Linked DNA regions of Canis lupus familiaris. The protein of the gene in region 1 interacts with the protein of each later gene in a biochemical or structural test. Links are inferred from orthologs where the notes say so. Each region holds a gene or a part of one and is shown in the gene's direction. Other genes may lie near its edges.

Evidence for each region.
Region 2: the proteins of DLG3 (region 1) and CYSLTR2 interact in a test that uses a peptide from one of them, tested with the Homo sapiens proteins (2 studies listed by IntAct, with this or other methods). The link is inferred for Canis lupus familiaris from reciprocal best matches to the Homo sapiens genes DLG3 and CYSLTR2.
Region 3: the proteins of DLG3 (region 1) and NET1 interact in a test that uses a peptide from one of them, tested with the Homo sapiens proteins (2 studies listed by IntAct, with this or other methods). The link is inferred for Canis lupus familiaris from reciprocal best matches to the Homo sapiens genes DLG3 and NET1.
Region 4: the proteins of DLG3 (region 1) and FRMPD4 interact in a test that uses a peptide from one of them, tested with the Homo sapiens proteins (2 studies listed by IntAct, with this or other methods). The link is inferred for Canis lupus familiaris from reciprocal best matches to the Homo sapiens genes DLG3 and FRMPD4.
Region 5: the proteins of DLG3 (region 1) and GDA form a complex in vitro, tested with the Homo sapiens proteins (2 studies listed by BioGRID and IntAct, with this or other methods). The link is inferred for Canis lupus familiaris from reciprocal best matches to the Homo sapiens genes DLG3 and GDA.
Region 6: the proteins of DLG3 (region 1) and CRIPT form a complex in vitro, tested with the Homo sapiens proteins (2 studies listed by BioGRID and IntAct, with this or other methods). The link is inferred for Canis lupus familiaris from reciprocal best matches to the Homo sapiens genes DLG3 and CRIPT.

The regions. Positions count from the first base shown.
Region 1 is NC_049260.1:55,078,250-55,083,686, forward strand, and holds the start of DLG3 (disks large homolog 3), read left to right. Parts: upstream 1-2,015; 5' UTR 2,016-2,380; coding exon 2,381-2,737; intron 2,738-5,437. UniProt on the Homo sapiens protein: Required for learning most likely through its role in synaptic plasticity following NMDA receptor signaling.
Region 2 is NC_049243.1:2,883,095-2,887,745, reverse strand, and holds part of CYSLTR2 (cysteinyl leukotriene receptor 2), read left to right. Parts: intron 1-2,833; 5' UTR 2,834-2,873; coding exon 2,874-3,872; 3' UTR 3,873-4,651. UniProt on the Homo sapiens protein: Receptor for cysteinyl leukotrienes. The response is mediated via a G-protein that activates a phosphatidylinositol-calcium second messenger system.
Region 3 is NC_049223.1:29,480,387-29,485,401, reverse strand, and holds the end of NET1 (neuroepithelial cell-transforming gene 1 protein), read left to right. Parts: intron 1-1,705; coding exon 1,706-1,892; intron 1,893-2,209; coding exon 2,210-2,616; 3' UTR 2,617-4,132; downstream 4,133-5,015. UniProt on the Homo sapiens protein: Acts as a guanine nucleotide exchange factor (GEF) for RhoA GTPase. May be involved in activation of the SAPK/JNK pathway Stimulates genotoxic stress-induced RHOB activity in breast cancer cells leading to their cell death.
Region 4 is NC_049260.1:9,177,806-9,182,456, forward strand, and holds part of FRMPD4 (FERM and PDZ domain-containing protein 4), read left to right. Parts: intron 1-1,216; coding exon 1,217-1,343; intron 1,344-3,588; coding exon 3,589-3,678; intron 3,679-4,243; coding exon 4,244-4,426; intron 4,427-4,651. UniProt on the Homo sapiens protein: Positive regulator of dendritic spine morphogenesis and density. Required for the maintenance of excitatory synaptic transmission. Binds phosphatidylinositol 4,5-bisphosphate.
Region 5 is NC_049222.1:86,202,070-86,206,720, reverse strand, and holds part of GDA (guanine deaminase), read left to right. Parts: intron 1-1,472; coding exon 1,473-1,580; intron 1,581-4,393; coding exon 4,394-4,491; intron 4,492-4,651. UniProt on the Homo sapiens protein: Catalyzes the hydrolytic deamination of guanine, producing xanthine and ammonia.
Region 6 is NC_049231.1:49,890,306-49,895,502, forward strand, and holds the start of CRIPT (cysteine-rich PDZ-binding protein), read left to right. Parts: upstream 1-2,122; 5' UTR 2,123-2,232; coding exon 2,233-2,248; intron 2,249-5,197. Other genes in the region: PIGF (phosphatidylinositol-glycan biosynthesis class F protein), read right to left, coding at 1-145. UniProt on the Homo sapiens protein: As a component of the minor spliceosome, involved in the splicing of U12-type introns in pre-mRNAs. Involved in the cytoskeletal anchoring of DLG4 in excitatory synapses.

The DNA.
Region 1 (5,437 bases):
TGGTTAAAGATACAAAGGCAATAGGGGAGCCTTGATTAGATTCTGATGTTAAACTATAAAAGGCAAATTTGGAGAAATTTGAATATAGACTAGACATTAGATGCTATTGGATGATATGAAATTATTGCTAATTTTCTTAGATGCCATAATAATACTGTGGTCATGTAGGAGAATACAAGATGTATGCTGAAGTATTAGGGGAGAAGTGTGATGAAATCTGTAACACATTCGAATGGTTCAGAAAACAATGTAGCTACATGATAGATGATAGAGCAAATATAACAAGGCAGTAACAGTTGCTGAGTCTATGAGAAAGACATATTGATGCTCATTGTACTATTCTGTCAACATTTCCATATGTTTGTGAATTTTCATTTTTAAAAAAAGTTGGAAAAGAAGTTGGAAAGAATATGTGGAGGATATATGATAAAGCAAGTATAGCAAAATATTAATGAGAATCCAGGTGGTGTTTGTTCCCTGTAAGATTCTTTCAATTTTCTGTATGTTTGATAATTTTTGTATTAAAATGTAGAGGTAAAAAACTTGAAGAAAGATGATCACAACCCAGCATCCTCCTCTAGCATTCCCAACACCCTCTTCTCTGATTGACTTTTCTTTTTTCCCCACAGCACCTTATATATTATATAATTCTCTTATTTATTATGCTGGGTTTTGTCTATATCCTCTCACTAGAATGTAAGCTCCCCATGGGCAGGGATTTATTGTTTTGTTCTGTTTGTTGCTATATCCCCAAATCCTAGAACAGTGTCTGCACATAGCAAGTGTTAGTTAGATAAATGTTTATTGAATTAAGAATGAACTTCTGTATCTCTCGGACCTAGGCTGAGGTCTTGCATAGAGTAGGTGTGCAATGAATGTTTGTTGAATTGAACTGAGATCTACAGCCTACGGGAGAACTTAGAATAGAGCTGTTGTACCAGGGTGGTTCAGAGTATGGATTCTTGAATCAAATAGCCAGGTTCTGCATCCTGATTCTGTCACTTCCAGCTGTATTAACATCTCTGAGCCCCAATTTCTTGATTAGTGAAATTAAGATAAGGATAGTAACACCTTGGTAGGGGGTTCGTTTGAATGTAAAGCACTTAGGACTTTGTAAAGACTCAATAGTTGGTAGCTAGGGACAAAAGAAGAACATCAAAAAGAGATAGTTTTCCCTGCATATCACCTTCCTCCAACCCCCAACAGGCTGAGCCAGGGAGGCTAAGGAGATGTCCTCAGACAGGAATTCCTAAGTTCTTCTCCAGGCCCCCTGGAACAGTTTCTCTAAGTTCAGATCTCTTCTTACCTTTCCTTCTGCCCTGGACTCTTCTTTCCTCTTGGCATCCTAAAGCTCTTTCTCCCATCATAACCATGCAGGAGTACGGGGAAAGAGACAGGAGCCTCTGGGCCGGGGACAAGAGCTCAGAGCTTTCCTTTCCTCCTCCTGTTCTAGGCTTGAGTCCCTCACTAGTGATGGAAGCAGGTCAAGTGTGAGATTGCGGTCATTTCAGGCCTAGAGGTTGAGAGAACAATAGTCCCAAGGAAGAGGCACTGACAGGAGAGTAGCCACATATGCTGCCCTCTTCCGTGGTCCCCTGTTAAGAAAGATCACCTTCCTTGCCCTGCTCCAACATCCCTTTGGTCTGTTCTGCTGCTTCAAGTCTTTACTTCTGCTAGCCCCAGCTCAGAGCAAGCCCAGGGACCCATTGACTATCTCCCTGCAACTCCCTCTTGGAAGTGGGGTGGGGTGGAGTGGGCGGAGGACGGGTTGGAATTGGAGATGTGGGGGCACTAGATCAGGGGCTGAGCTCCCCCGTGGCCCAAATCCCCCGTCCCTGCTTTAGGGTCGGCCGTACCCCAGATGTCTGGGGAGCTGGGGCTGAGCCTGGGGTCGCCACTGCCTCTGTTCCTTTAAGGAGCCGCTGTTTAGCATTCCTGCCGCTGCCGCTGCCGCTGCCTGACTCTGCACGCTGATTGGCTGGAATCAACTGAGAAGGGAGCCAGGGAGAGATGCTCTTGACTCCACTCAGATCCATCCTGGGGACCAGTGCAGGAGCGGTCCTCTCAGCACCCAGCCTCTGCCCAGGCTCCCGCTTCTTCTTTGCCGCTGGGCCTCGGCCCAGGAGCCACGACGGGCGACACGGAGCCGCCAGTGCTGGAGGGGGAGCCGTGGGTGCGGGGCAGCGTGGGGGCAGAAGCCCCGGGACGCCCGCCCGGCCCCAGGCCCCGCTCCGCCCGAGCGCCCCCACGGGTGCCCCCTCCTTCCTGGTCCGAGCAGTGTGAGTGTGCCCGGGAGTCCGGCGGCGGCGGCGGCGGCGGCGGCGGCGGCGGTGTGGAAACCGGCGTGGGCTGGGGTGTCCGGGCGGCGGGGGGCAGTGCCATGCACAAGCACCAGCACTGCTGTAAATGCCCCGAGTGCTATGAGGTGACCCGCCTGGCTGCCCTGCGGCGCCTCGAGCCTCCTGGCTATGGGGACTGGCAGGTGCCCGACCCCTACGGGCCAGGTGGGGGCAATGGAACCAGCGCGGGCTATGGGGGCTACAGCTCGCAGACCCTGCCTTCACAGGCGGGGGCTACCCCCACCCCCCGCACCAAGGCCAAGCTCATCCCCACTGGTCGGGATGTGGGGCCAGTGCCCCCTAAGCCAGTCCCAGGCAAGAGCACACCCAAACTCAACGGAAGTGGCCCCAGCTGGTGGCCCGAGTGCACCTGTACCAACCGGGACTGGTATGAGCAGGTATGGACCAGCAGTGCGGAGGGGGGGGGCGGGGGGGATGGTGGGGTAACCCAGGGGAGGCTGGAGAGTGGGGGCCTAGAGGCCTGGGGGTGCAGCAGGGATTCCTGGAGGCTTCAAGCCAGTGGACTCCGAGCCCTAGCATTTCACCTGAGCTAAGAGAGGCGGTTGGAAATGTGTGCTTCTGTGTGTGTGTCTGTTTGGGGGTCTCCATTTGGAGGGGATTGGGAGGAGCTGTGTGTGTCAGGAGGTGAAGGTATGGCGGAGGGGTACATTTTCCTGTGAGGGGGACTGGGTTTGTCTCAGTGCGGAGGTTTAGTAGCGTCTCTGTGTCTGACAGGGGGCGGGAGGTTTTGCGGGGGCTGTGTATGGTGTGTGCTTCCATGGGGGGGAGGAGGGGGCATGGTGCTCTGCGTAGGGGGGACATATGTGTGTATGTATGTTAAGGTGTGTGGAGGAAGGCAATGGAGCTCCTGTGAATCTATGTAGAGGAGCCCATGTTCCCAGCTGGTTGAGCTTTATCCTTCAGTGCCATGAGTCCTTTTCTGTCCCAGTCCCTTTGTGTGTGAATGTGCACATGGACATGTGGGGATGTCTCTCTGAATGTGGAGGTGTCTCTCTGTAGATGAGGCTGCAGGGACAGCTGTGTTTGCCTGTGTGTGTAGCTACATGTATATGTGTGTGAGCATGTAGCTTAAGTGTGTGCATGCATGTGCCTGTGTGTGTGTGTGTGTGTGTGTGTGGTGTCCCTGGTGAGAGGCTCTTGACAGGCAAAGGAGGGGAGGGAGAGGAGGCAAGAGACACGTCCCAAACAAGGCTGAGAGGCTGCTGAGAAGGACGGACTCTTTTGTCCAAGCAGCTCTGAAGTGTGTGTGCTGGGGGGGCCCAAAGGTAGGGGGTGGGGGGACTAAAGCAAGCTTCTTCGCTCTAGAGCAAGCATGGTGCCTGGAGCCAAGAAGGGGCAGCTGCCCTGGTGCAAGACTGGCCCCAGCGGGGCATGTCCCCCTTGGGTACCTCCAGATGTGAGAGAACTTGGCCCCCAAGCCCTGACTTGGCACAGTTTGGGAACCCCTTGGGTGCTGGGCACAACTCCGGCTTCCACTCCCAGTCTAAACTGCCAGCTTAGAAAATGGAAGGAGCATCTGTGGGAGAAGCAGCAAAATGGAGGCTGGGCCGGCAGAGCCAGGTCCTTGGCATGCATAGCGGAGGGCCTGTCTGGTTATTTGGCTCTGCAGCCCCCAGGTTAGGGAGAGAGGAGACAGAGGCTTTGCTGTCGAGGGCAGGTGCTGCCTGCCCCAAGCTGGTGACCGTTCTGTCCGCCTCTGTCCTCCTCTGGGAATAGAATGTGCTCTCACTCAGAAGCAAAGGTGGGGACTTCCTAGGGAGAGGAGTCCTCAGTTCCTCAGTTCTGGTCTTTTGTCTGTCCACACTTACTGCTTCCCTTTTCCCTTACCTTGGCTCTTTGCCCTCTCTAGTGAGTCCCCCTCATTCTTTTTTCCTGTATCCTGGGGCCCTACCCTTGCAAACACTCCCTCATGCTTATCCTGCTCAACTGGCAGATAGGTGCCAGTCCCAAGGCTGGGCCAGTTGGTCAAGGTTTCTTTGCCAGGGATGATCCCCAGATGGCTCCTGGTCCTGGGAGCGGGGTCCCTGAGCAGGGCAGTGGGAGGCTGGAGCCTCTGGTTCTCACTGGAGCTGGGCTTGAAGCATGGCTTATCACATGTGGGCACACATGGTACCCCAGATGCACAGAAGGGCTGTATGGGTGTCCTTTTGCCTGTGTGTCTGTTGCATCTTACTCCAGGCAGCTGTTTTGGTTTGGGAGCTCTGAAAAGCCATGGGTTCTTCCTCCTGGGATCAGGAACCAGAGTGGGGCTGCAGCTGGAGTCCTCCCACCACCTCCCAGGGCTGCAGGGCATAAAGTACAGGGGGCAGGCCCTGCAAAGGCGGAGGCATGACTAGCCAATACTACCCGTGCCCTCTCTGTTTTCCCAAGCCAAAGCTACAATGGAGTGGGGAGCAGAGCAGGACACACGAAGGAGCCCCCACCCTAGGTTTGCAGCTCCCTTCAGAGGAGGACACCAGGGGTTGGAAAAGGGGTAACACAGCCAGAGGAAGATGGAGGAGGGGTGCTGGGTTACCCGGGGAGAGAGGCAAGGAAGTTCCTCCATTCTCGGGGATGAGAGTGGGAGCCAGGGAGCAGTTACTACTTGTCTGTCCAGAATCACATTTTCTCTTGACAATGGTCACAAGTTATATCTTGTCTGGGAGACCAGTTCGGTGGGTTGGTCAGAACAATGCTTGTTTCCATCTCCTTCCCCTCACTTCTCCCATGGCTACTATATATTGAAGGCCATGGGCTCTGCTGCCAGTCAGTCCACAGGTTATCAGCTTCTCCCTCCTGGGGAACTGTGTCCACTCTGCTCCTATCCCACCCCTGACTTTGCCTCTGACTCCCACCCAGATCCTACCCTGGCTTTTTCTGCTGGGAAACACAAAGGGTTCAAGATCAAAAACCTCTTGGTATGAAGCGGGTTCGGACTTTGACTCCTTCCACCCATTTGAAGAATTGGGTTCCTGGGGACACAGAGGAGATATAGAATGAGGGTTCCTGGGGTATTCTGAAGGGTACAATTTTCCATTTCCTGGGATTTCTGCTAGGGAAGGGGATGAGTGGCCAAAACATCAGTGGCCTTGGCAGCT
Region 2 (4,651 bases), on another chromosome or scaffold:
TAGAAAAACAGATTTTGAATATATACCTGAAAAGGATTGACCTTAAAATTGGTTTAAGGCCTTGTCAATTTTGTCAATACCTGATAAAAGAGCTAGCACTTTTTAATCCCCAAAGAATGGAAGGAAAGGAGGGGGTATCACCAACATTCAACAAAAAGAATATTTTAGACAATGTCCTCTTGACGGTTTCCTCACTGTTTCTCCTAGAGCGCCTCTCAAGCAAACAACCTTGTTCATGTCACAAGTTCCCCAAAGTGGCCACTGCAATTCCACATGGTCCCTGGTGAAATTGTGCCAGTGGCATAGGCGCTCTACAGTGAGGAAAGCTGAAAGACACCTCGTGGCCCTGGGAGAGGTACAGTTCGAAGCTGGATGGACCCCACGAGTGCTGGGGTGCTGTAAGGACGGAGCTTATTTGCTCTTCCATCTGTGAAATTTGGGCAAAGGTCACCTGCCTCAAATTAGGTTTGAAAAAACTAAACAAAGCAGACCTCGGAATCACAAAAATATGACAGAGGAAGTCATTCCAATATTTGAAATGATGACTTTACACAAAGTTTATCCAGAGTTTGTCTAAAGAATGCCAGTCCTTCTGAACACTCAGTCCCTGGGGCGGTTGGAGGACAGACTTACCGGCCTCCCCTTGTCTTTTCCTTACGGACTTTTCCTCCTAAAGAAAAACAACACTCAAGACAATAGGTGATAGAATGGGTGTTAGAAAGTTAGGAAGCAATGGTTACTATTTACCAGATTTACAAGTCTGACCGGTAACTAGAATGTCTTGATGTTGTCATTATTTTTTATTTTAGCCATTCTAGTAGGCGTGTAAATATATCCCACTGTAGTTATAGTTTGCATTTCCTTGGTGGCTGGTGCTATTGAACAATTTTGTATGTGCTTGTATTTTACCCACACGCCTGAAATATCTCTTCGTGTCTTTTGCCTATTTCCTAATTGGATTGTTTGGTTTTGTTTGGTTGGGTTTTATTTATTTATTTTTACTGCTGAGTTTCGAGAGTTCTTTATGTATTCTAGACACTAGTCTTTTGTCAAATCTGTGGTTTGCAAATATTTTCTCCCAGCCCATATTTTGTCTTTTCATCCTCTCAACAGAACCTCTTGCAGAGGAAAAGTTGTTTTACCTTGATGAAGTCCAATTTATCAATTTTTCATTTCATGGATCATGTTTTTGATGTCAAGTCCAAGAACTCTCTGCCTAGTCTTAAATCCCAGAGACTTTCTCCTGGGTTTTTATTTTCCTAAAAACGTTATAGTTTTACATTTAGTCTATGATCCATTTTAGTTAATTTTTGTGAAAGGTAAGTCAGTTGGTCCCATTGGTTGATGTTGTACTTGAGTTTATCCAATTCTTGCGGAGTTTTTGTCTATTTGTTCTATCAGTTATTGAGACAGGATTTTGAAATTACTGACTGTAACCATGGACTTGTATATTTCTCCTCTTGATTCTATCAGTTTTTCCTTCATATAGTTTGCAACTCGGTTGTTTGGGGCATACGCATTTAGAACTGGTGTGTCTTTTTGATAGATAGACTCTTTTATCATTATATAATGTCCCTCTCTCATATTGTTTTTTGTTCTGAAGTTTACTTTATCTGATATTGAGAGCTACTCCTGATTTTCTTTGATTTACATTTCCATGACATAAATATTTTTCATCCTCTTGCTTTCAACCTGCCAGTACTGTTATTTGAAGTGAATTTCTTATATACAGCATATTATATATATATATGTATATATATATATATATATATATATATATATATATATATATATATAATTCCAGTCTGCCAATCTGTATTTTAATTGGTATATTTAGACTATTTATATTTAATGTAATTATTGGTTTGTTAGGGATAAGCCTGCTATTTGATTGTATTTTTCTGCTTGTATTGTCTATTTTCTTTCTCTTATCTTTCTGTTGGTTATTCAACCACTTTTCAGAATTCCATTTTGATTTGGCTCTAGTGTTTTTGAGCATATCTCTTTGTATAGCTTTTTAATGGCTGCTCTAGGTGTTACATTACACATACATCATTTACCACAGTCTATTGGCATCATCATTTTACCAACTCAAGTGAAGTTGTGGAAACCTTACCTCCTTTGTGTCCCTTTACCCTCCCCCATTTACAATAAAATTATCTTTAAAAATTCCCCTGCATCATATTGAATCACATCAGACAAGGTTAGAGTTTTTGTTTCAATAATCAGATGTAACTTAGACTCAAAAAGAGAAGACAATCCTATTGTACTTAACCCATATTTTTGCTTTTCATTTTCTGCCTCTTTTCTAATGTTCCTAGGGTCCTTCTTTTATTGATTCCTTTCTGTTTAGAGGCCTTCTTTTAGCCATTCATTTAGGGTAGGTCTGCAGACAATAAATTCTCTTAGTTCTCCATCATCTGAGAACGTCTTGACTTCTCCTTCATATTTGAAAAGTATTTTTGCTGGATATAGAAATTTGGGTTGGTAGACTTTTGTTTTAGCACTTAAAAATGTTGTGCTTTTGTCTTCTTCCAAATATTCTGATGAGACATCTGTTGTCTGGTAGGTGTAGACTGTAGTATTAACACAAGCACTGGACCAAATGTCTCCCAAGTTTGAGGCTTCGGTTTCAATGAAATAAATCAATGTTTATTTTGCATTCTAGAAATTTATCATGAAATATAATGGAGGATATAGTAAAAACTTTGCTAATATTTTTGGACTCAAGTTGCAAAGATAAGCCAGTATTTCTCCCTGTTTCATTAAAACCTGGAAAGATGTAAGTAGTGAGTGAGGAGTAACTTTTTGTGTCTGTTTCTTTTTAATCCAGCATAGAGAAGAAACTTCTGTCCTTGCCTCGGTTCACCTCCATGCCAGAAATGGAACCCAATGGCACCTTTGATAGTAGCAACAGCAATGGGAGCTGCACAATTGAAAACTTCAAAAAGGATTTTTACCCCATTGTGTACCTGGTAATATTTGTCTGGGGAATCTTGGGAAATGGCTTTTCCATATATGTTTTCCTGCAATCTTATAAGAAGTCCACTTCTGTGAATGTTTTCATGCTAAACCTGGCCATTTCAGATTTCTTGTTCACAAGTACACTACCCTTCAGAGCTGACTATTACATCAGAAGCTCCAATTGGATATTTGGGGACTTGGCCTGCAGGATTATGTCTTATTCTATGTATGTCAACATGTACAGCAGCATTTATTTCCTGACTGTGCTGAGCATTGTGCGTTTCCTGGCAACTGTTCACCCCTTCCGGCTTCTCCATGTCACCAGCATCAAGAGTGCCTGGATTCTGTGTGGGATCATATGGATCCTTATCATGGCTTCCTCAGTAATGCTTCTGAAAAATGGCTCTGAGCAGAAGGGCAGTGCCGTATTATGCTTAGAGCTGAATATCAATAAAATTGTTAAACTGAAGACCATGAACTACATTGCCTTGGTGATGGGCTTCCTGCTGCCATTCTGCATGCTCAGCATTTGTTACCTGCTGATCATTCGAGCCCTGTTAAAAGTAGAGGTCCCAGAATCAGGGCTGCGTGTTTCTCACAAGAAGGCACTTATCACCGTCATCATTGCCTTGATCATCTTCCTCTTGTGTTTCCTGCCCTATCACATACTGAGAACTCTCCACTTGATGGAGTGGAAAGTGAATACATGCAAAGAGGACCTGCATAAAGCTGTAGTCGTCACACTGGCCTTGGCAGCAGCCAATACCTGCCTCAATCCTTTGCTCTATTACTTTGCTGGGGAAAATTTTAAGGACAGACTGAGGTTGATACTCAGAAAAGGGAAGGCACAGAAGACAAAGTACAGCCTTCCTGTCTGCATGTGGTTGAAGAGGGAAACACAAATTTAAGGGGTTGCCAGGTAGAACCTGTTCTTGCATCCTTGTGCCCACCTTCATTCATCACATAGTCTCCAAATGACCATGGATTTAACTGTTTCCAACAAAGGTCCACTCCTAACATTTAACTGACCATGACTTTTGTTGATAAGTCCTACTTCAAACATTGCATTAGATGTGTTTTCAGTGATTGACTCAAAAAGAGAAATATAGCAGACAAAATCTCTACTAGTCTTGCAACCTCACATGTCAGACTGGGAAAAGATGCTCAGCACATTGTGTGCTCCTTTTCATCAGTTTCTGTACCAGATCTTGGTCCCATCAGGTATTCTAAAGTAACTTTAAGATAAACTCAACTTCCCCAGCTTCTCCAGCTCCTCTTCTAACTGGCTAAGCTGCATAGCCAGTTAACAAAGCTAATGGAGGTTCCAGAGCAGACCAGAAAAAAACATCCTAAGAATTCACTGAAAAGACTTTGTGAGGAAGGCTGCCCTTTGTCAAAGCAGAGTCAAGGTCCCAAACAAGAACAGTGAGAGAAAAGGGGAGAGAAGGACTGGGGCAAGACAGAGCTGGTAAAAAGTAGGGAGAAAGAGAAATTTCATGTTGCACTGGGAGAGAGGCTCTAGCACACTGCAGGCAAGAAGATTCCCTTCGCCTCTCTCTTGCTGGGGGCTAGAAGGAATAGGAAGAGTGGGAGGAAGAACCAGGGCCTTGTCTAGGGAGTGGAGGGATTACGTGTCAAGTGGTAGAAAGGAGAGGGTCAATTTTACTCTTGTGATTTGTGTTGGGAC
Region 3 (5,015 bases), on another chromosome or scaffold:
AAATAAAATCATCACAGTGAGAAAATTACTAGTTTTTACTTTACATTATTAGCTTTGATGAAGCAAACTTTGGTTTCTGTTGTGACAGAATGACTCAAAGGTCTTGGTTGGAGAACAGTTTGTATATTTTAGTTTAGTTTTTTTTTTTTTTTTCAAAGATTTTATTTATTATCACCAATTCATGAGAGACACAGAGAGAGAGGCAGAGACACAGGCAGAGGCAGAGAGAGAGACAGACAGAAGCACAGGCAGAGGGAGAAATAGGCTCCATGCAGGGAGCCCCTGTGGGACTCAATCCCAGGTCTTCAGAATCAGGTCCAGGGCTGAAGGCGGCAGTAAACCACTGAGCCACCTGGGCTGCCCTATATTTTAGTTTTGAAGCATAAATCAACTTTTTTGGCTAGGGGTTCCTTTCAAAATAAATTAATAGTTTCCTAATTTAAAAAACATGTCTTTCAATTTTTTTTTCAAAGAGTTTATAGTGATAGAAGTAACTTGTAGCACTACTAAACAAATTTCTACAACAGTTTGAATGAAAGCAAACTTATTTTTTAAATATTAATTATACAGGCACCTGGGTGGCTCAGTGGTTGAGTGTCTGCCTTCGGCTCAGGGTGTGATCCCGAGATGGAGTCCCTCATAGGGCTCCTGGCATGGAGCCTGCTTCTCCCTCTGCCTCTCTCTCTCTCTCTCTCTCTGTCTTTCATGAATAAATAAGTAAAATCTTTAAAAATGAATGTTTATTATAAAAGTATTTGCTAGAACTAAATAAATGTAAGCATGGATTTTTTTTTTTTTTTTTAAGATTTATCTATTTATTTGAGAAAGAGACAGAATGCACCTGTTCAAGGGAGGTGCAGAGGCAGAGAGAGAGAGAGAATCTCAAGCAGGTTCCATGCCCAACATGGAGCCCGATGTGGGGCTTGATCTCAGGACCCTGAGATCATGACCTGAGACAAAACCAGGAGTCAGACGCTTAACCAACTATGCCACCCAGGGACCCCATGTAATGGTATTTTGTTTTATTATGTGCTTTTCAGAAAAAAGGCCATTTTTTTGGAAGTTTTATTTTAATTCCAGTTAGTTAACATACAGTATAATATTAGTTTCAGGTGTATAATGTAGTGATTCACCAATTCTGTACATCACCCAGAGCTCACCACAAGTGCACTCCATCATCTGCATCACCTATTTCCCCCATTTCCCTACTCCCTAGAAGCCCAGTTTAGAAGTTGAGATCTTTTCGGAAAAAGTTGAAACCTGACACCTCTGATTTCTATTATGAAGCCTAATTGTTCTATAAAGGCTTACATTTGTGTGGGACAAAATCAAACCATTAACATTTTTACCAGCTTGCATTTGTTAATCCTTGTTTTGTTAGAAAACTGGTATCTGATACTGGTGTCTCCAGACATGTTACTACTGGTAGGTGTTTTGTGGTGCATAGCGTTTACTCAGCTGCTGCTTAATCTAATGTTACCCGCTGATAAAAATAAATTTTATATAGTCTGAGATTAGAAAAGCTCTCCAAGTAGAACATGGGTAGCTTTGAAATCAAAGTCTTTATGAGATCATTTGTAAGGAGGATGTTAGTAAATAAATCTGAGGAAGTTACTGTCGAATCAAGTCATTTTAATGGTGGATTTCAGTCACTTAAAATTACAGAGTTTCACATTTAAGACATATTTATTTCTTGTTTTTCCAGAAACTTTACATATTCCTGTTTCAAGACATCTTGGTTTTGACTCGGCCTGTTACACGAAATGAGCGTCACTCTTACCAGGTTTATCGGCAGCCAATCCCTGTCCAAGAGCTGGTCTTGGAAGACCTGCAGGATGGAGATGTGAGAATGGGAGGGTCCTTTCGAGGGGCTTTCAGCAACTCAGATAAAGGTAAGAAAACAAGCTTTAAAGTAGTTTAAATACACATAAATTCAAAACCTAAGTGAATTTAGTTGTCCTTATACAAAAAAAATTGTAAATGAGAAGGATTCCATTGTCCTGTACCTGTTGCACTCACTGAGTTGGCAGGTGCTTTGCTGCCCTGACCCAGCAGGTGTATCTAAGGAGTCAGGGATGGGCTTTTCCTAGGCTGTCTGCCTAATGGATGTACCTGCGATATGAACACCCCCCATCCTAAGATTGCATGCTGACTTTATTTACCAGAAACTTTTTTAAGTCTCTTTTTTTACATTTCTTTATTCTTCTAGCTAAAAATATCTTTAGAATTCGCTTCCAAGACCCCTCCCCAGGCCAGTCCCACACTCTGCAGGCCAACGATGTGTTCCACAAACAGCAGTGGTTCAACTGCATCCGTTCGGCCATCGCTCCTTTCCAGCAGGCTGTCTGCCCAGCTGACCTGCAGGGTCTCCCAGAGCTCGACGAGGAGTGTGGGGAGAACGACCCCTCTGCCGGGAGCATCCGGGCCCGGAGAAGGGCCTCCACGGCGTCCAGCATGACTCAGGTCCAGGTTGACGGAGACACTTCAGAATGTGTGTCCCCAGTGCACACAGCAGAGGACGTGAAGAGTGTGAAAGTTCACCAAACACAGTCTGGCTTCCGAAAAGCAAGGGACAAAGCCCAGTTCAGTGGCAAACGGAAAGAGACTTTGGTATAAAGGAAGTTCTGTGTATGAACTGGTGGAGAGACTGTTTATTTATAAATGTGTACAGTTTGTTTTTTCTTGTAATGTAAGCATGGGAGCATTGCAGGGCTACTTAATACCAGTCTTAACATTTTCTGTGTTTTTGGTTGGTTTGGGTGGTTGTTCCTTTTTTTTTTTTTTTTTTAAGGCAGCTAAAGATACATGCAGATTACTGTTAAACTGTAGCCTTTTTTTTTAAAGATATTTTTCTCAGATTATTTAGAACATGCAAGCCTTTTATTAATCAAATGAAATATTTATGAAATGGATTTTCTCTTCTGCATTCATCAAGACTTTCTAATTGTGATATTTACAATATTTGCCAAAACTTAAAGTTTTACAAATACTGGGATTTCACCAGTGTTTCTCTGGTAAACTCTGCATACAGAGTTTGAGTTTGTAGCATCAGCAACCTGAAATCTTCACACAATATATGTTTGTGATATTTCAGAACTTACAGTGAAACTTAAAGTCTTTGGAGAACAAACCGTAAAACTTACTAAGTTTTCCATTTTGTCAACTGGAATGCTTTGTATTTGTTTTTCATTGCACATTCCTCATTTTTCATCCATTTAACCTGCCAAGTATTTAATTTTTTTTTAATTTGTAGTTTTTAGTATTTGCTTTTATTTTTTTTTACTTTGATGCATTTTCCTTTTCAAATTGGTGTGTCTCTAAAGTATTTTTCTTTTTTGATTAAAATGTGTATGTATGTGTGTGTGTGTGTGTATATATATATATATATACATATATATACATATATATATCTTTTTTTAAAAAATCAGATTAACTTGACCAAGTGAAACCAAGCCATATTGTTTTTGAGCCAATTAAGAAAATTGCAATCTTTAAAGCATAGCATGTCAGAATGGAGAACACACATGAAATGACCCCGTGTATCCTGGACTATGGGAAGAAAAATGCCGTAAGGTTTTTCTTGAAAGTTTTAGTGTTGTCTGAGAAGCAAGAGGGAAAGCAGTTGACTGGTAATAAGTTCAAAACAAACAAATAAAAAAGAGAGCCTAAGAGAGTAGTTTTGTCTTAAGGTAAAAACGTCTGGTTGTGCCAGGACGTTGAAACGATATCGTAAAAGCTAAACTTGAGGGTATGTCGTAAGTCGTAGAAGGCTTGGGGGAAGTGAATTTTTCTTTGTCTTGGTTTATGGGTTTGAAAGGAAACAAATGTGTTGAAAATTTGACCATTTAGATCAGTTTTGCTGGATTTATTCATAAGAGGGAAAAATAACTGATGAATCTTTCACTGTAAAATGTTTCTGTTCAATGAGGCCATTGTCTCTAAGGAGGGAAGGCCAAAGCCCTGTGTCATGGCAGATCTATATTGGTAATCAGCTCAAGTAAATGTTGACTATTACGTGAACTGTTTCTGGCCAGTGGAAATGAAAATTGAAAAAGATTGTAAATAGATAATCCAAATGATTTCTCTGTATAAATGAATTATACAATTAAAAAAAAAAGCACACACATAATCACCCTTAAAGGTTTATTGGCTGGTGGATGTTGAGCGACATGTGCCATGACATGCTGGTACAGCAGAGGAGGTTAATGACAAGCTTCACAAAGGTTTTTAAAAATCATAAATAACTAAACCCTTAATTCATTGATGAGTAAGAGAAAGACTGAATTATAAGGTCAAGCTTTGTGAGTCTTTTTAGAATATTAGAATACGATATAATCAAAAATAGCTATTCGATTGAAGTCAGCTGAACATCTGGCTGCTTTCTGATTATAGTAGTAAAGCTAATAGCAAAACATGCTGATTAATTTCAGATTTTCATGTCAGTATCTCAGGTTTCCAGGTTTGGAAATGCAAAGTCAAAGTGTAGGTTACATGAATAGTTGTGATCTGAAAAGTCAGAAAACAAGATGTTATATAGAATATTCCTTCCAGAATTACCCTGTTCAGCTTCTGAAGGTACAGAAACAAGTTCAAATGCTGTTAATGGAATGATTTTTCATCAAAAACTGTATCTTCTTTGGTTCACTCAAGAGAGAAAATAGGCCCAGAAACTGAATAATTACATGGAATGAACATTTCAGAAATTGCATCTGTGTATTTGAGAGCATCTGATAATCTAGCTAGTGGCTCTCAAACCAGTTCAGGCATCAGAATCACCAGGGGTGCTTTAAAAAAAAAAAAAAGGAAGTGGGCCCACCCCTTAGCTCCTCCCCATATAAATACCCATTTCCCTGAATCAGGATCTTGCGGAGAAGGGGTGGCAAGAGTGAGGGTTGATCATCTGTATTTGTAAACACTCCCTCCTAGTAATTCTGATAAGTGAACTCCTTGGGTCAGCACTTCATAATCAGTGACCCAGCCAATAGCCATTATGTAAATGATACACGTAAGTATAG
Region 4 (4,651 bases), about 46 Mb from region 1:
ATCTCGGGATCCTGAGATCAAGCCCCGTGTCCCTGCTCAGCAGGGAGTCTTCTCTCTCTGCCCCTGCCCCATCCGCCACTCATGCTCACACTCTCTGTCTCTCAAATAAACAAATGAAATCTTAAAAACAAAAAAAAAAAGATACGAAAGTAATGATTTAAAGTGCTGATACAAGTAGAATTACCAGGCACCCCATAAGGAGTGCCAGATGATGGGTAGAAATAATAAGTGCGAGTGGAGGAGGAGGAGGAAATGGTGATCATGAAAAACACCATCTTAACCAGCGATGGGCATGGATGGTCAAGTGGGGGAAGGCCGTCTTCCCACGCTTCTTTGGAGGGGATCTGGAGTCGGAGACACAAGCAAACCTTCTTGAAGGTCTTTATAGTATTTAGAAGGCCCTGGATGGGCGCCTGACCAATCAGGATGGAATTCATAGAGTTCAAACTATGGAACCCTGCTGGGGTAGGGGTGTAGTCGTTGCTGAGGAAATGGGCCCTCCACAAACCTTATTAACCCAATGCTGCCCATTTTTCCTGTCTGTGCACACCTGTCGGGAATGTGGCGCCTCCCCACCAGTACCACACACACTTAAGGGTCACGACCCCCACCCCGTCACCACACCAGCTGCGCTCCTTGCATGCACACACGCACCCAGCAAGAGCTGTTGCCTGAAGGAGCTAGATGGACATCATGTGGCCGGCGGAGAAGTGTATGTTTGTAGTGAAGTAGCCACTGGGCGGGGGGGGGGGGGTGGCAGGAGAGGGAAGAGCGGTCTGGGGCATGAAGGAGTTGGCATAGGCCCTTCTAGTGAAGAGAGAGACGGTGTGGGGGACGGGGAGTAGTAACAGTGGCAGTAAGCAAAGGAACCGGCAGAAATGGTGTTGGAAATACATACTCAGGTATGTGAATGAATTCAGTGAGACTCCAGCCTTCCAAGAGGGTTGGACAAATGGTCTCCATTTCCACTGGTCCCCAAGGCATTCTCTCTGGAGAGGGAAGGCTATGTTTCCTTTAAGGTGCAAACAGCTGTATTCCTAATCAGCTAGTATGTTCCCAGAGCGTAAATTCAAAGTTGCTTCCCTAATTGGGGCCCCAGCTCCATTTCCTGACTTGCTCGGAGTTCGTTTGTTCCCACAAACATCAGAGTGCCATCTTGTCTTAGATAACTAATCATCACAAGAACGTGAAATTAAAGATATGCTCTTTATTGCAGAAAAGAATGGGGATTAGAGACTTTTCTTCCCTCTGCTGTGCTGCAAAGCATGAAAGAGAAGAACATAAAGAAAGCACTTTCACACCTTGTCAAAGCAAATCAAAACTTGGTACCACCGGGTAAAAAGGTATCACATTTGCATCTTAATGGAAAATGGATTTTAAAGAGCCGGGCTTGCATGCATTTCTAAAAATGTTTAAAATTAGCTCGTGAATAAAATATTTTCAGAGGCAGTAACACCGCATAACCCCCGCCCCCACCCCTTTTCTTCCCTATTAACCTGTTTCTAAGGCTAATGAAAAGTAGGTGTTCTTGTGGAGACTTCTTTCTTTCTTGTAAGCTATGGACTCCTTGTTGTACGGAGTGTGTGTGTGTTCACGTGTGCGTGCAAGAGAACCTTGCATAGCCACTGAGATCTTGTGATTAGAGAACAGAATTGCAAGACGACTGCGCATTTCCATCGTGCCCTTGCGTACGGCTCAGACTGTCTTAAATGCACAGCAGCCAGCAAGGGGCCTTGCAGACCAGATACGGCATTATTTAACCCGGGGTTTCCCTACGTCCCCACTGTTGACATTTGGAATCATTGTTTGCTGGCGGAGGGAGGCGGTCTTGTGCATTGTGTGGTATTTAGCAGCATCCCTGGTCTCTACCTACAAGACGCCCTCCATCACGACGTGGAAAACGTCTTTAGACATTGCCAAATGTGCCCTGGGGAACAAAATCACCCCCGGTTGACAACCGCTGAATTAAATCTTACTTCTGAAAGGAAGATAAAATTATTTCTGCCATTCACCACCATTAGTGTTAAAATCTCCCTTATTATTATTTTTTTATCAGAAGACACAGAAAGGGCATTTTAAAACTTTGTTGGTCGGAATAGAGAGTTATGTTTATAGGCAATAAAAAGCAAAGGGCTTCAAGAACCAGAAAGAGGACCCTAAAAATACAGGACCTATAAAATTGGAAGCAGTGTTACAACCCGAGAACACTTAACAATTGATATTGGCCATAGAGACTTGGGTGGCTCTAATACAAATCACTGTTTATGTGGGTAATTCTTTGGTCTTGGTATTGGATTATAAGTCATTTTTACTGGCTAAAACATACTTATTGCTATTCCCTCCTCACCCCATGGCTTTTTAAAAAGTAAAATCAGCTTCGACACACTCCAGCCACTGTTGCCTTACTTCCTCATTTCTGAAAGCATTCAGCTCACAGAAATCTAGCAGGACGTCAGGGATGAAGATTTTGTAGGGGCGCCTGGCTGGCTGGCTCAGTTGGTAGAACGAGCAGCTCTTGACCGCGCGGTCTTGATTTCAAGCCCCGTGTTGGGTGTAAAGATTACTTAAATAAGTAAACTTTAAAAAAAAAATTTTTTTTTTAAATTTTTGGTTCTGATTTGCCCAAAGCTAATTTCTTTTGATTGGCCCAATAGGATTTTTTTCAAGTGTGGCCCACTGGATTTGGTTAACTGTTCTAGAATTGATCGATCGATCGATCGATCACTGTTTTTCTATAAAGGTCAGTTTTTCTACCCAAGAGTGAGTGGTTTGCTTTCAAATCAATTTGCAAAGTGCTTTGGGTTTTCGAAAGAAGTAGGATGGCCCAACAGTGCTGGCTACCAGTGACATAAAGGGTAGTGCATTTGGGTATAGTTAACAATCAAGTACTTGTTTTGTGATGTGGGAATCTCCATTTTTGAGTCTTTCGAAAGATACATCTCACCTGGATAAAATTTTATGTTTTATATCCTTTATGAAACTCAGTAGATCCTTGAGTTGAACTAATCAAACAGGGACTTCTGGCAAGTCCCAACATTTCTACAATGATTGGAGCACAGAAAGCTCATTTTCCCTGAAAACATGCCAAGGCTGGAGGAAACTTGAGATGAGCGTGGCCAGCCTATTTCACAGGCTGTATGTAGATGGCAGGTGTGTGTTCAAAACGGCTCCCACGAACTCTGTGTACAGGTGAGTCTCCTGTACACAACCCGCTTCGTCCCTACCTGCGATTGGAAAGCACCACTCGACTCTTGGGGGTCTCCAGTGAGCAGACATTTCAGTGGAATATCTTACCATCTTATCTCTTTTGTTGAGTGCCCCGGCCCAGCGGATCCACGTTTATGACCTCCCCCGCCAGGCCTTTCCCCCCAAATAAAAAAAGGGTTTAATCTGGATGTCTTGTTGCAACCCTTTATTACGAACCCAAATACATAGCAGTTTACCCTCACTCGTCATGAAGAGTCCTTGTCACACCCCTTCTGTTGGCAGTGAGAGCATCCCGGTTCGCCCCTGTGGTTAGCTGGTCTCCAGCAGAAACCACACCATACCCACTGGAATTAACACCTGAGGTTTCTTTTCTCTCCTCAGCTCTCTGCACTGCAAGCCAAGGTCCATTATCTCAAGTTCCTCAGTGACCTTCGACTGTACGGGGGTCGTGTGTTCAAGGCAACATTAGTGGTAATTGCTTTTTCTTGCTTTCTCTTGGAAGCCACGGAAGCCTGCAAAATGTCACTGCCATAGGCTGTCTTGAATGAGCTGCCTTTGATGACAAAAGCAAATCAGCTGTGAATCTTTTCCAGCCTTCATTTCTAATCGGCTGCACCCCAGTCTGGAAATATCAGAAGAAATGTTAAACTAGATAACACCACTGCAGAATGCCCTAGAAAAAGAAATATGAAGAACCGAGAGAGTTGATGCGCTCTTACAATGGCCTTCTTTTAAATCATTGGGCCAGAAGTTGCTTTCATATTAAAAGAGGGGGAAAAAAAATCCTCATTTCTAAAAGTGTCTCATGATTATGAATCTATGTGCTCTGATAACATTTACTCTCTACATTATTCCTACTTTATCGGGGCCTCGATGCAATCATGATGTCTGGTTCTTCTAATTGGGTGATTTAGCACAATATGATCGAGAAACACTTCCTAAAGAAAATGTGATCTTGTAAGAATAGGCTCTCAGGTTCAACTCTGCATGGTGTTTTGGAGGTCGAGGATTTTTATACTTTGTCAACGTCTCTCAGCAGGCGGAAAAGCGCTCAGAAGTGACTCTCCTGGTTGGGCCCCGATATGGCATAAGCCACGTCATAAACACCAAAACCAATCTGGTGGCTCTTTTAGCTGACTTCAGCCATGTCAACAGGATCGAGATGTTTACCGAGGAGGACAGCCTGGTGCGGGTGGAGCTCCATGTGCTGGATGTAAAGGTAAATTCTTCAGGTGCTGACACAGGGCCTTGATCTGAACAGCACATTTGTGATAACACCGCCAATATTTACAAAGCGGTCAAAATTTCAACGTGGGCAGAGGATCAGAAATGTGACGAGTTACAGAAAACATCCACCCAACCTAGGCCTGATGACTCCAGTCCTCCCTAAGGAGCCGTGACAAGTTGCTCAAAGTCTTCATCTATACATGAGAAAGCAAACCAG
Region 5 (4,651 bases), on another chromosome or scaffold:
CTTCTGAGCACCCCTTTGTCTTCAGAGATAAGGCTGCTCCTTTCCTCCAAGTATAGGATGGGCACCCTCACATAAAAGTTTTTTGATCTGTTACAGGGATGATGGGGAGGGGAAGGTCATTCTGATCTTCAGCTATTTTCCTTCAGCTTAAAATGTACAATATACTACAGTGCCACATTTGGAGGTAGTGTGTCCTGAACTCCATGAACACAAAACAAAATCAAGTATATCTTTGCTAGAGGTGTATGCATGTGTGCATGTTCATTCAGCATTTATTCAACCTTATCAAAGTGAAAAGAATCATCTGCTTGACCCTTCTTCCCTTCAGATGCCCATGTATTTCCTTAGTGGTCTAGATTTCCTCAAGGCCAGGATAGAGCTCACCCTCTAGGTAGAACACTCTATTTTTAGACCATTGCTCTTTTTTCTCTCATTTGGTTCACACTCTACCTCATGGAGAAAGGGAAATGGCTTTGCTATTCTTGGAAGTGGCAACTTGCTCATGAGTTTTTTTCCCATAATATGTACTCATCACCAGTTGATCTGGAATGATTTTTGTTTTAGGCAAGGGGATGAAGTGGTTACACTTAAATGTTGTGTCTCAAAAGTACTTACTGCCCTCTCAGGGTTTATGGTGCCCTGGAGTAAGGTTGGTGTGTGGGCCAGGACTCATTTGTTTCTGTTGGATGTGGATTTTTATGGGCTCTTTTTTGGTGACTTCAGAATTGTCAAACTCAGTTATTCGCAAACTGTCTTCTGTACAAGAACTTATTTTGGAAGCTGACAAAGTGGGCAAAATGAGGACAGTGTTCTTAAATCCCAATCCTGCTTCTTCCTGAGACACAACTTGTTTATGCCTTTTACATATTGGATTTCCATGAATTTTTATATGAATAACATATTCAAAACTGGAAGAGTTTAGAATTTAGAAAATCACTCATTTAGCCCAACCCTAATATTTGAGAGATGAGAATGTAGAGACCCAAAGGAAAGAACTGATTCACCCTAAGACAAATGACTAGGCTCAGAACTTGGGCTAGCATTCATCTCTCCTTGTTCAAGTTCCAGTTTTCTTAAGAAAGAACCATGCTGTCTGTCCTTTTATGACCAATAAACTCTTTTCTTAATGGCCAGTACCAGAAGAGGCAAGTTGCCACAAATAGCTAGGTTCTTGACTCTCTTCAAGTACTTTTTATTTTTATTCATTCTTGCTATGGAAAGAACATAATATGGATTAAGGTTAGGGCTAGAACATTACATATCGATGTAATTATCATGCTCACATTCATAGTTTCTTTTTCTTATAGATGTTATGTATAATATGAATAATTGTTTTCAATAAAGCACATGTAGAATCTTTGTTGTCTTATATAGGCAAGTAGAAACCATCCTTATCATTGTTGGGATAGGAAGTATGATTTCTAATGGTATTTCACATTAGAAAATTGAAAATATTATTTCTTTTCTTGTAGAGCCACATAAGTGAAAATATCAGTGAAGTTGAAGCTGTGAAGAGCCTGTTTTACGATTATAAAAATTACACAGATGTGTATGATAGAAACAATCTTCTGACAGATAAGGTACATTGCATATCATGACATAATCTGTGTAAAGTAGGGCATATTTATCTACATTTTAAGATCTCAGTAATGGAGGGCAGTGGGGAAAAATGAAATAATAAAATAAAATCTCAATAGTAATCTTCAGACTTCAACATGTGCACATTTCCCAAACTAGAGTAAAGCTTATACACCACGCGTGCATGGATGTATAGTTAAAAATTGGCCTGAAGTTTCATGCCAGTAAATAAATCTAAAGACTTCTTTGGGGGTAAGAATGTCATTTGGCCCAAGGATATTTTGTCAGTATCCATCAGAATGTAAATGTGCATTCCCTTGAGTTAGCAGATGCATTTCTAAGGATCCATTCTGTAAGGAATATGAATAGGAATGTTAATTAATGTGAAAGTCAGGAAATGTCTATCAGTGGGGGATTGTCTAGATTATAGAACATCCATAATTAAAATTTTATCCAGCATTCGCAAGAATGATGTATACAGGCTCACAAGGAAGAATGTTTATAAGGGTTGTTTGTGTTTGATGTGTGTATGTGTGGGTGCATGCTCACTTAAAAACAATGATTTGGAGGGGCATCTGGGTGGCTCTGTGGTTAAGCACCTGACTCTTGATTTGGGCTCAGGTCATCAACCCCATATTGGGGTTGATGCTGAGTATGGAGCCTGCTTGAGAATCCCTCTGCCCCTCCCCACTTACGTACTCTTTCTTGCTCTCTCTCTCTGTCTCTTAAAAAAAAGTATAAGGGAGTACAAACATTGAATGTTAAAAAACGGTCTTCCTGAGGGAGAAAACAGAAGGACTTTTTACTCTATTTTTAAACACTGTGGTATTGCTTTAAAAAATTAGTATATAATACTTTCATAACTAAATAATTTTACATTAATTACAATTAATATAGTGAGGTGACACCTCATTACAATCATATACCCCTTGGCCTCCAATGAATTGTACAGACTGCATGGAGAGTTGAACCTACTGCAGCAAATAAATTCTACTGCAGTGAATAAATTCTTTCGGATGATGAACAGAGGGCTGAATATGACTACTTTGAAAGGTTAATATTCTACATAGATCTTGTAAATGCTACGCTGTAATTTTCATCCTCCTTTACATATATTTCCATATGATTAATAAATTAACCTCCAATTTGCATGTTAATTTTATTTGCACAAAATTTGGGAAATTTTTATTTTATTAATAATTCTGTGGTCACTGAGCTGTGTCTCCCAAAGGAGAAAGCTATTAGAAACAGGTTTTGTACTGAAGGAAAAAGAATTTTGAAAGAGTAAAGCCTTTTTATTTTATTTTATTTTATTTTATTTTATTTATTTTATTTTATTTTATTTTTTTCTTTTGAGTAGAGTTGATGCACAGAGCATTACATAATGATTCAACTTTTCTCTGTTATGCTGTGCTCACCACAAGTGTGGCTACCACCTGTCACCATACAACATATTACCATTGACTATATTGATTATATTGCCTTTTATTCCCAAGACTTATTCATCCCTTAACTGGAATCCTGTGTCTCCCATTCCTCTTCCTTCATTTTGCCCATCCTCCTGCCTCTTCTCTTCTAGCAACCATCACTTTGTTTTCTTTGTTTATAGGTCTGATTCTGCTTCTCTTTCTTTGCTTATTAATTTTTCTTTGTTTTAGTTTCCACATATGAGTGAAGTCATATGGTATTTGTCTTTCTCTGATTTATTTCACTTAGCATAATAACTTAGCATAATGCCCTCTAGGTCCATCAAGGTTGTTGCAAATGGCAATATCTCATCTTTTTTAAAGCTGAGTAATATTACATATTATATATATATATATATATATATATATATATATACTGTAAGAAAGGCTTAAGTCTTATTTAGGAAATCCCACAAATCTTACCAGGACTAAATAGAGAAGTGTTGTATGTGTGCAGTGCCTGCCTTCATGGATAATTTTGTCTTCCAAATTAATAGATACATTTCCTAATTTTGTGAAAATGTAAATATAGGTGATAAAACAGTTTGGGTTTATTTTAAAGATTTTTTTATACTTATTCATGAGAGACACAGAGAGAGAGAGAGCCAGAGACACAGGCAGAGGGAGAAGCAGGCTCCCAGCGGGGGGCCTGATGCAGGACTTGATCCCAGGACCAGGATCAAGCCCTGAGCCAAAGGCAGACGCTCAACCACTGAGCCACCAGGTGCCTCTTAAACGGTTAATTTGGTTGTGTTAACTATACTCAAATTTTAAAAAGACTTAAAAGATAGATAAATAAAGATTATTTGGTTATATGTGTTGAGAGCATCAGTGCCTGTATTTAACTAGGAGCAGAAATAAAAGCCCAACTCTTTCCAGGATTATGCCTACAGCTTCCATGTCTGACAAAGGAAAACTTACTTATAGTAAGTTCTGATTAAGATAGGAATAAGCACAACCCCACTGGTTGCTCACCATGTAGAATTAGAAAATAAAGTAACTTGGTTGTTTTCTAAAGCGGAGATGAAGACAGCATAGTATCTTTGAGCTGGGTGGATATCCTATGCTGTAGATCACCTGGACCCTCATTATTTTATAGATTAAAAAAAAGAAAAAAAGTAAGATCCACATATTTGCTGAGAATTGTGTAATCCAGTGTTTTTACAGGCCTTTTTTGAAGAGTAACTTGTACATGGATTTTATACATACAAGTAATCATAAATGTTCTTATGAAGATGTTTACAGACAAGTCACAGCTTCTGTCTGTGCCTGTAACATCTTGCTGTCAGTGAAGACTATTGGAAACGTTTTTAAGTGGTAAACTCCACACAGGATACTCTTCTCTCCAGACAGTGATGGCACATGGCTGCTACCTTTCTGCAGAAGAACTGCAGGTATTCAAGGAACGAGGAGCAGCTATCTCACATTGCCCCAATTCTAACTTATCGTAAGTATGCAATAATTAGTTGGTAGTAGAGTATGATCATTTGGGTTGCAAATTAGCAGCTTAAATACCTTTGTTTTCTCAGTCATGCCTCCAAGTGTCCTTCTCCTAGAGTTCTGTTTGATTGGGACAGGAACCAGATAGACGCACAGAGGCTCACCTG
Region 6 (5,197 bases), on another chromosome or scaffold:
CAGAACAGATGCACAACCATGTCAAGTGTGTTTCCAATATTGAGAAATTCTCCAAGAAGAACGATGGAATGCAGATGCTTAGGATAATTGAAAATATGCACAAAAGATGGGTATACAGTAGTCTCTTGATATCAGTATCTTTCATGGTGTTTTCTTAAGGCGCTATCTAATGAAAAACAAATTAAGAGCATATCCAATAATGATTTTTTTCCATTGTCTAAATGCTCCAACGCCTAAAAGTAAGCATGAACAAATCAATTTTCTATGCGCAATAATTACGAGTTTCAGAATATGGGAAGATGCATACATATAAATATACATATAGACTAGTTTGGCTCAAAAAGGTCTTAGAACCTAAAAAGGCCAAACTTAGTAATTTCTTAAATATTTGTAACCAGTTTCTGTAAAAGGGTCATGTACTAAGACCAATTAAGGGGTTCGTTTCCTTTTCTTTTTCTTTCTCTTTTTTGTCGAAATCACAACGGTGAAAACAAACACGCAGAGATTAATGATTTGCTCTGGTTGGAAATATAAGCTATGCGTTCTCCGATCCATGGATACACTCTGACTAAACTGCTTTTTTTTCTTCTTTGTAACCACTAGGGACCCTTGTCTAACATCACAGTAGTTCACCTCTTCTGGCAAATGACAAGCAATACCAAGTGCACACTTCAGGACTCAAATGGTGGCCAGTGTAATCAGGAAAGGCCAAAGAACATTATGCTAAACTAAGGGATCCCAATGCTCCAGAAATACCGAAATGACAATGTCCGTTACAGGTGCTAGGTTCCAATCAAAAGTAGGGCATAAGTAGAAGAAAAATCTTTCTTTCTCTCTATAAAATACACATCGTGGTATGTATAACATATATGTTTATTTATAAATTACCTAACGCAGAGCTTATACATAGTACTGGCTAATATCAAAGTAACAGTCCACATGTTACCCATGTTACACTGTGGTTGAATATTCCAGAAAAACAAAAGGGCAAGTCAAGGCCTTATCTTTACAGCTCTGATCTAGTTCACATTATAATTTTCCAAGGCAAATATTCTACTGATAAGGAAACAGGCTAAGGCACGTTGGGAGACATGTCCAAGGTCCCAAGCTCCCAAGCACTATAGCCACGTCAAACCCTCGCCTCTTTGACATAAATCTACACTCCAGGGGCCGAGAAGGGGATGAAGAGCAAGAAGGGAGGAAGGAAACCTCTCTGGCAGATCCGCTGACCAAGGGGCAGGGGCGCAGGATCCGGAATACACCGTCTGAGCGGACTATCCCTTCGGGTATGTTTCTGGGCCGCTCTCAGAATCCCAAGTGATATGGGCAGATGAGGCTCTAATACACGGAGCAGCACCCAACTGCTTACTGAATGAATGAACGAACGAACGAGGAGAAGAGGGTGGGCCAAAGGTCTGCCCCCCCGCGAAAGCAGCCGCGGGGGTGGGCCCTGGCGAGCACACCCCGGCGGCCAGCGCCCGCGCCCCCGCCCCCGCCCCCGCGGTCGGACCCGGCCCGCGCCCACCGCCCCGGAGGCTGCGGAGCTTACCCGCGCAACCCGCGGCACCTGCCCCTGCAGCCCCCCGCCAACCTCGGCCGCTCGGGACTCTGCCCGAGCCTCACCCCGCGCCAGTGTGAACGGGGGCGGGGCCGCGCTGAGAGGCATAAGCAAAAGGGCACGGGCGCGGAGACCGAGACGAACGGAGGGCGCCACACACAGGGACGGATCCGAGGGCCGGGTCCATCGGGGCTGCCCCCGGGTCACGCCGGAAGGGTGGCCCTCGGGCGGGCGGCGGGCGCCAGCGGGCCGGGGGCACAGACGCTCGCGGCCACGTGGGCAGTGGGTGGGGGCCGCTGGCACCCCGGGAGGCTCGCGTGCCGGGCGGGCGCCGCTGGGCTTACCTAACTCTCCCGCCAGCGGAAGAGGAGCGCGAGCTACCACCTCCCACCATCAGGTACGACTCGCCGCCCTGGCCAACGCGCAGGCGCAAGCCTGTGGGGCGGAGACCCAAGGCGGCACAGCCAATTGCAGGAGCGGAGGGGCGGGCAATGGGAGAAGCCCCGCCTCCCACGGCCTCTCAGGTGTGGGGTGGGCGGGGCGGTGGGCGGGGCGGAGGGCGGGGCGGCCGGAAGCGGATTTTCGTAACCCGGAAGGGGACGTCTGCCCCGGCTGTTGTGTTGACATTCTCGAGCTGCTGCTGTTTCTGCGGCCGGGGGAACCGTCGGGGAAGGATGGTGTGCGAAAAATGTGAGTTAAGGGGCTGACTCTTTGGGAGGAGGCCAGGAGAAGCTAGCAGGAGTTCTCCGGGGACTTCGCCTTTTCTTTGTCTTTTCTTTCGGCCACAAGTCTCTGATTCCAGCCTTTGTCCTTTATCCCTTTCACCGTTCCCATTGGTTTTGCATTCGGAGTGTTCTCAGTTTTGTACTGATTTGTCTATTTCCTTTGCCTCCCCCAGCCCCACCCCGGGATTTCATCCCATACAGCTCTTGACTGGCTCCTTAGCCTCACAGACCCTCAGCATTGGAATGGATCTTAAAAGTCATTTTTACAACACCCAGAGTTTCCAGATATAGCAGACATTTTAAAAATGAATACTTTTTTTAGAAGTATATCCCATGCGATATTTGAGACTTGTCTTTGCTCGCAGCTTCTTAGTACTGAAAGTGCTTTGGGCTTACCTTTAGGACATGACAATACTAAAACACCATTCATTGTTTATTTGAAATTTAAATTGAACAGGGCATCCTGTATTTTAACGAGCAACCCGAAGTTAGCATCCTTAAATGTTGACTTAAATGTTCTTTGCATGAATATCTGAGGTCTTGAGGCAGGGTTCAGAAAGCCTCACTACCTTCAAAACAGTCTGCGTAGATGCCACTGGCTTTTAGAAAGTTCCTTCTTGGGCAGCCCGGGTGGCCCAGCGGTTTAGTGTCACCTTCAGCCCGGGGCGTGACCTGGGGTCCCACATCGGGCTCCCCGCATGGAGTCTGCTTCTCCCTCTGCCTGTGTCTCTACGGCTCTCTCTGTGTGTCTCTCATGAATAAATAAATAAAATCTGAAAAGAAAAGAAAAAAAGAAGAAAGAAAGAAAGAAAGAAAGAAAGAAGAAAAGAAAAGATCCTTCATCCCTACAGTTGCCAGGCAGTGATTCTAATGCAAACCCTTGATGTTTCTGGAAAGTATCTTAGGATTTCTTTGATGTCACAGACTGTCTATATGTTTTAAAACGGCTCTCATATCCCTAAGTCTCTTTTTCCTCAGGCTAGACTTTTCTTAACAAGATTTCAAGTCCTCTTATCTGGATTAACATTAACTTGATCAATTCTGTTTATATTCTCCCCTCCCCCCCAGTAGATAAACCTTTAAACACAGGCACCCATGAGTTTGAATCACAGGTTTTACATTATGTAAAGGAATAACCATGGTGAATTACCTAATATTTCTTGGCTCCAGTTTTCTCCTCTGAAAAATGAGAATAATACATAATTTATGGGGTTTTGTGAGAATTAGATAATGCAGGTAAAGCCTGATATAAAAGTGCCTTAGTGTATACTCAAAAACTGGTTATTCCTATCATAACTCCCAGTATGTGGCACTCAGCATTAAACTCTGCTCCATTTTATGAGGAGTAGAGTGGGACTGATATTTTCATTTTTCTATGCTTTACATCATCATCTCACATGAAGCTTTTAAAAAATTATTGCAGTTCTACCAATTGGCATAGGTAGAAGTCACCCATTTAAAATGTGCCATTCTGTTATTTTTAGCGTATTCACAGGGTTGTGCGACCATCACCACAATCAATTTTAGAATATTTTCATTGCTCCAAAAAGTACATTAAGCTGTTTGACATTGACGTCCTTTTAACTCTACTCCATCCAATACTTATGAGGTTTTTTGGTTTTGCTTGTTTGAGTAACTATGTCTTACATATATTTAGGTTATGCACCTTCTCCATGTCTTTTCTCTTATGTAGGGTAGTTCCTAAACATGTAAATTAGCCTTCTTTGTAATTTGTGTTAATTCGGTACATTTTAACTTTAGAGGCCTGGCATTCTGACGGGCTTAACTTGTTTTGTGTGATGTTCTTTACACCATAAGTGCTTTTTTCCCAGGAAAATTGAGGATACTGGGCAAATTCTGAGAGGTAATTTCCTAAGGCACATAAAAATTTTGAGAAGCCAAGATCGGATGTGATGTTAAAATACACATAGTTTGGCTCTGGGACGTGATATATGTCATAAAGGTCATTTGCTTTTTACTTCTCTGCACTTCTGAAAGTCTGTATTATTTCTTTGCTCTAGTACCTTTCTACCTTCTGTACCATCTTATTCCCCAAATAAAAATAGACTCTTAATTCAAAGACCTTTCTTTCAGTCCCTTTCTGCTTCTCTGTGACTTTGAAACTTGATCTAGATTCTCTTTGAATTTACTTCTCTTCTTCTTTACCATTATAATCTCCAAGTTTTCTTATTCTCCCTCTCCCTTAAAGTAGATATTTCCCAGTGATCGACATCTGCCCTTCTTTTGACTCTTTGTTTTGGAAATATCTGGCTTCAAGTAGTTTATCCATGCCAGTGAATGTCTAATCCACATCTCCAGCCGACTTCTCTCTATACCAAGACCAATAGAAGAAATTTCTCCAGACAATACTGGGACCCTTCATCTGGTTGTTACATAGTAGTATAGTACTTCCAAGACTGAATTTGTCATCCTACTTTATAAATCTGTAACTTCTCTTCCATCATTTAATGGCATGGCAGTCCTCCCAGTCACCCATTCATAAAGCCTTATTCATCGCTCATTCGTTCTGGTATCCCTTTGTCAACCTGCATCCAAACACTTGCCTGTCCTGCTATTGTTACTTCCATTCAATAGCTCATATTTTCCCTAGCCTCTCATTTACCCCTTAAATAACCTACCTGAGGTCCCCATCACTCTTGAGTTAAACTAATGTGATCCCCTCCCAGCTCCTTTCTCTTCAAACTGTGCTCTCTCTGCTTTTGCCTCTTCTCTCCTTAAACTGTCCTGCATGCATGTGAAGGCCACTGGGGAAAACTCATAAATGAACCAATTGGTACCACTAAAAGTGTACAATTCCTATTCTCCAAGATCTTTAATACTATTCATTGGTCTTTTTTACTTCTCTTTAGTCAGCCCTCTTGCCCTTTGTCACTAGTGACTATTCCAAACTCTC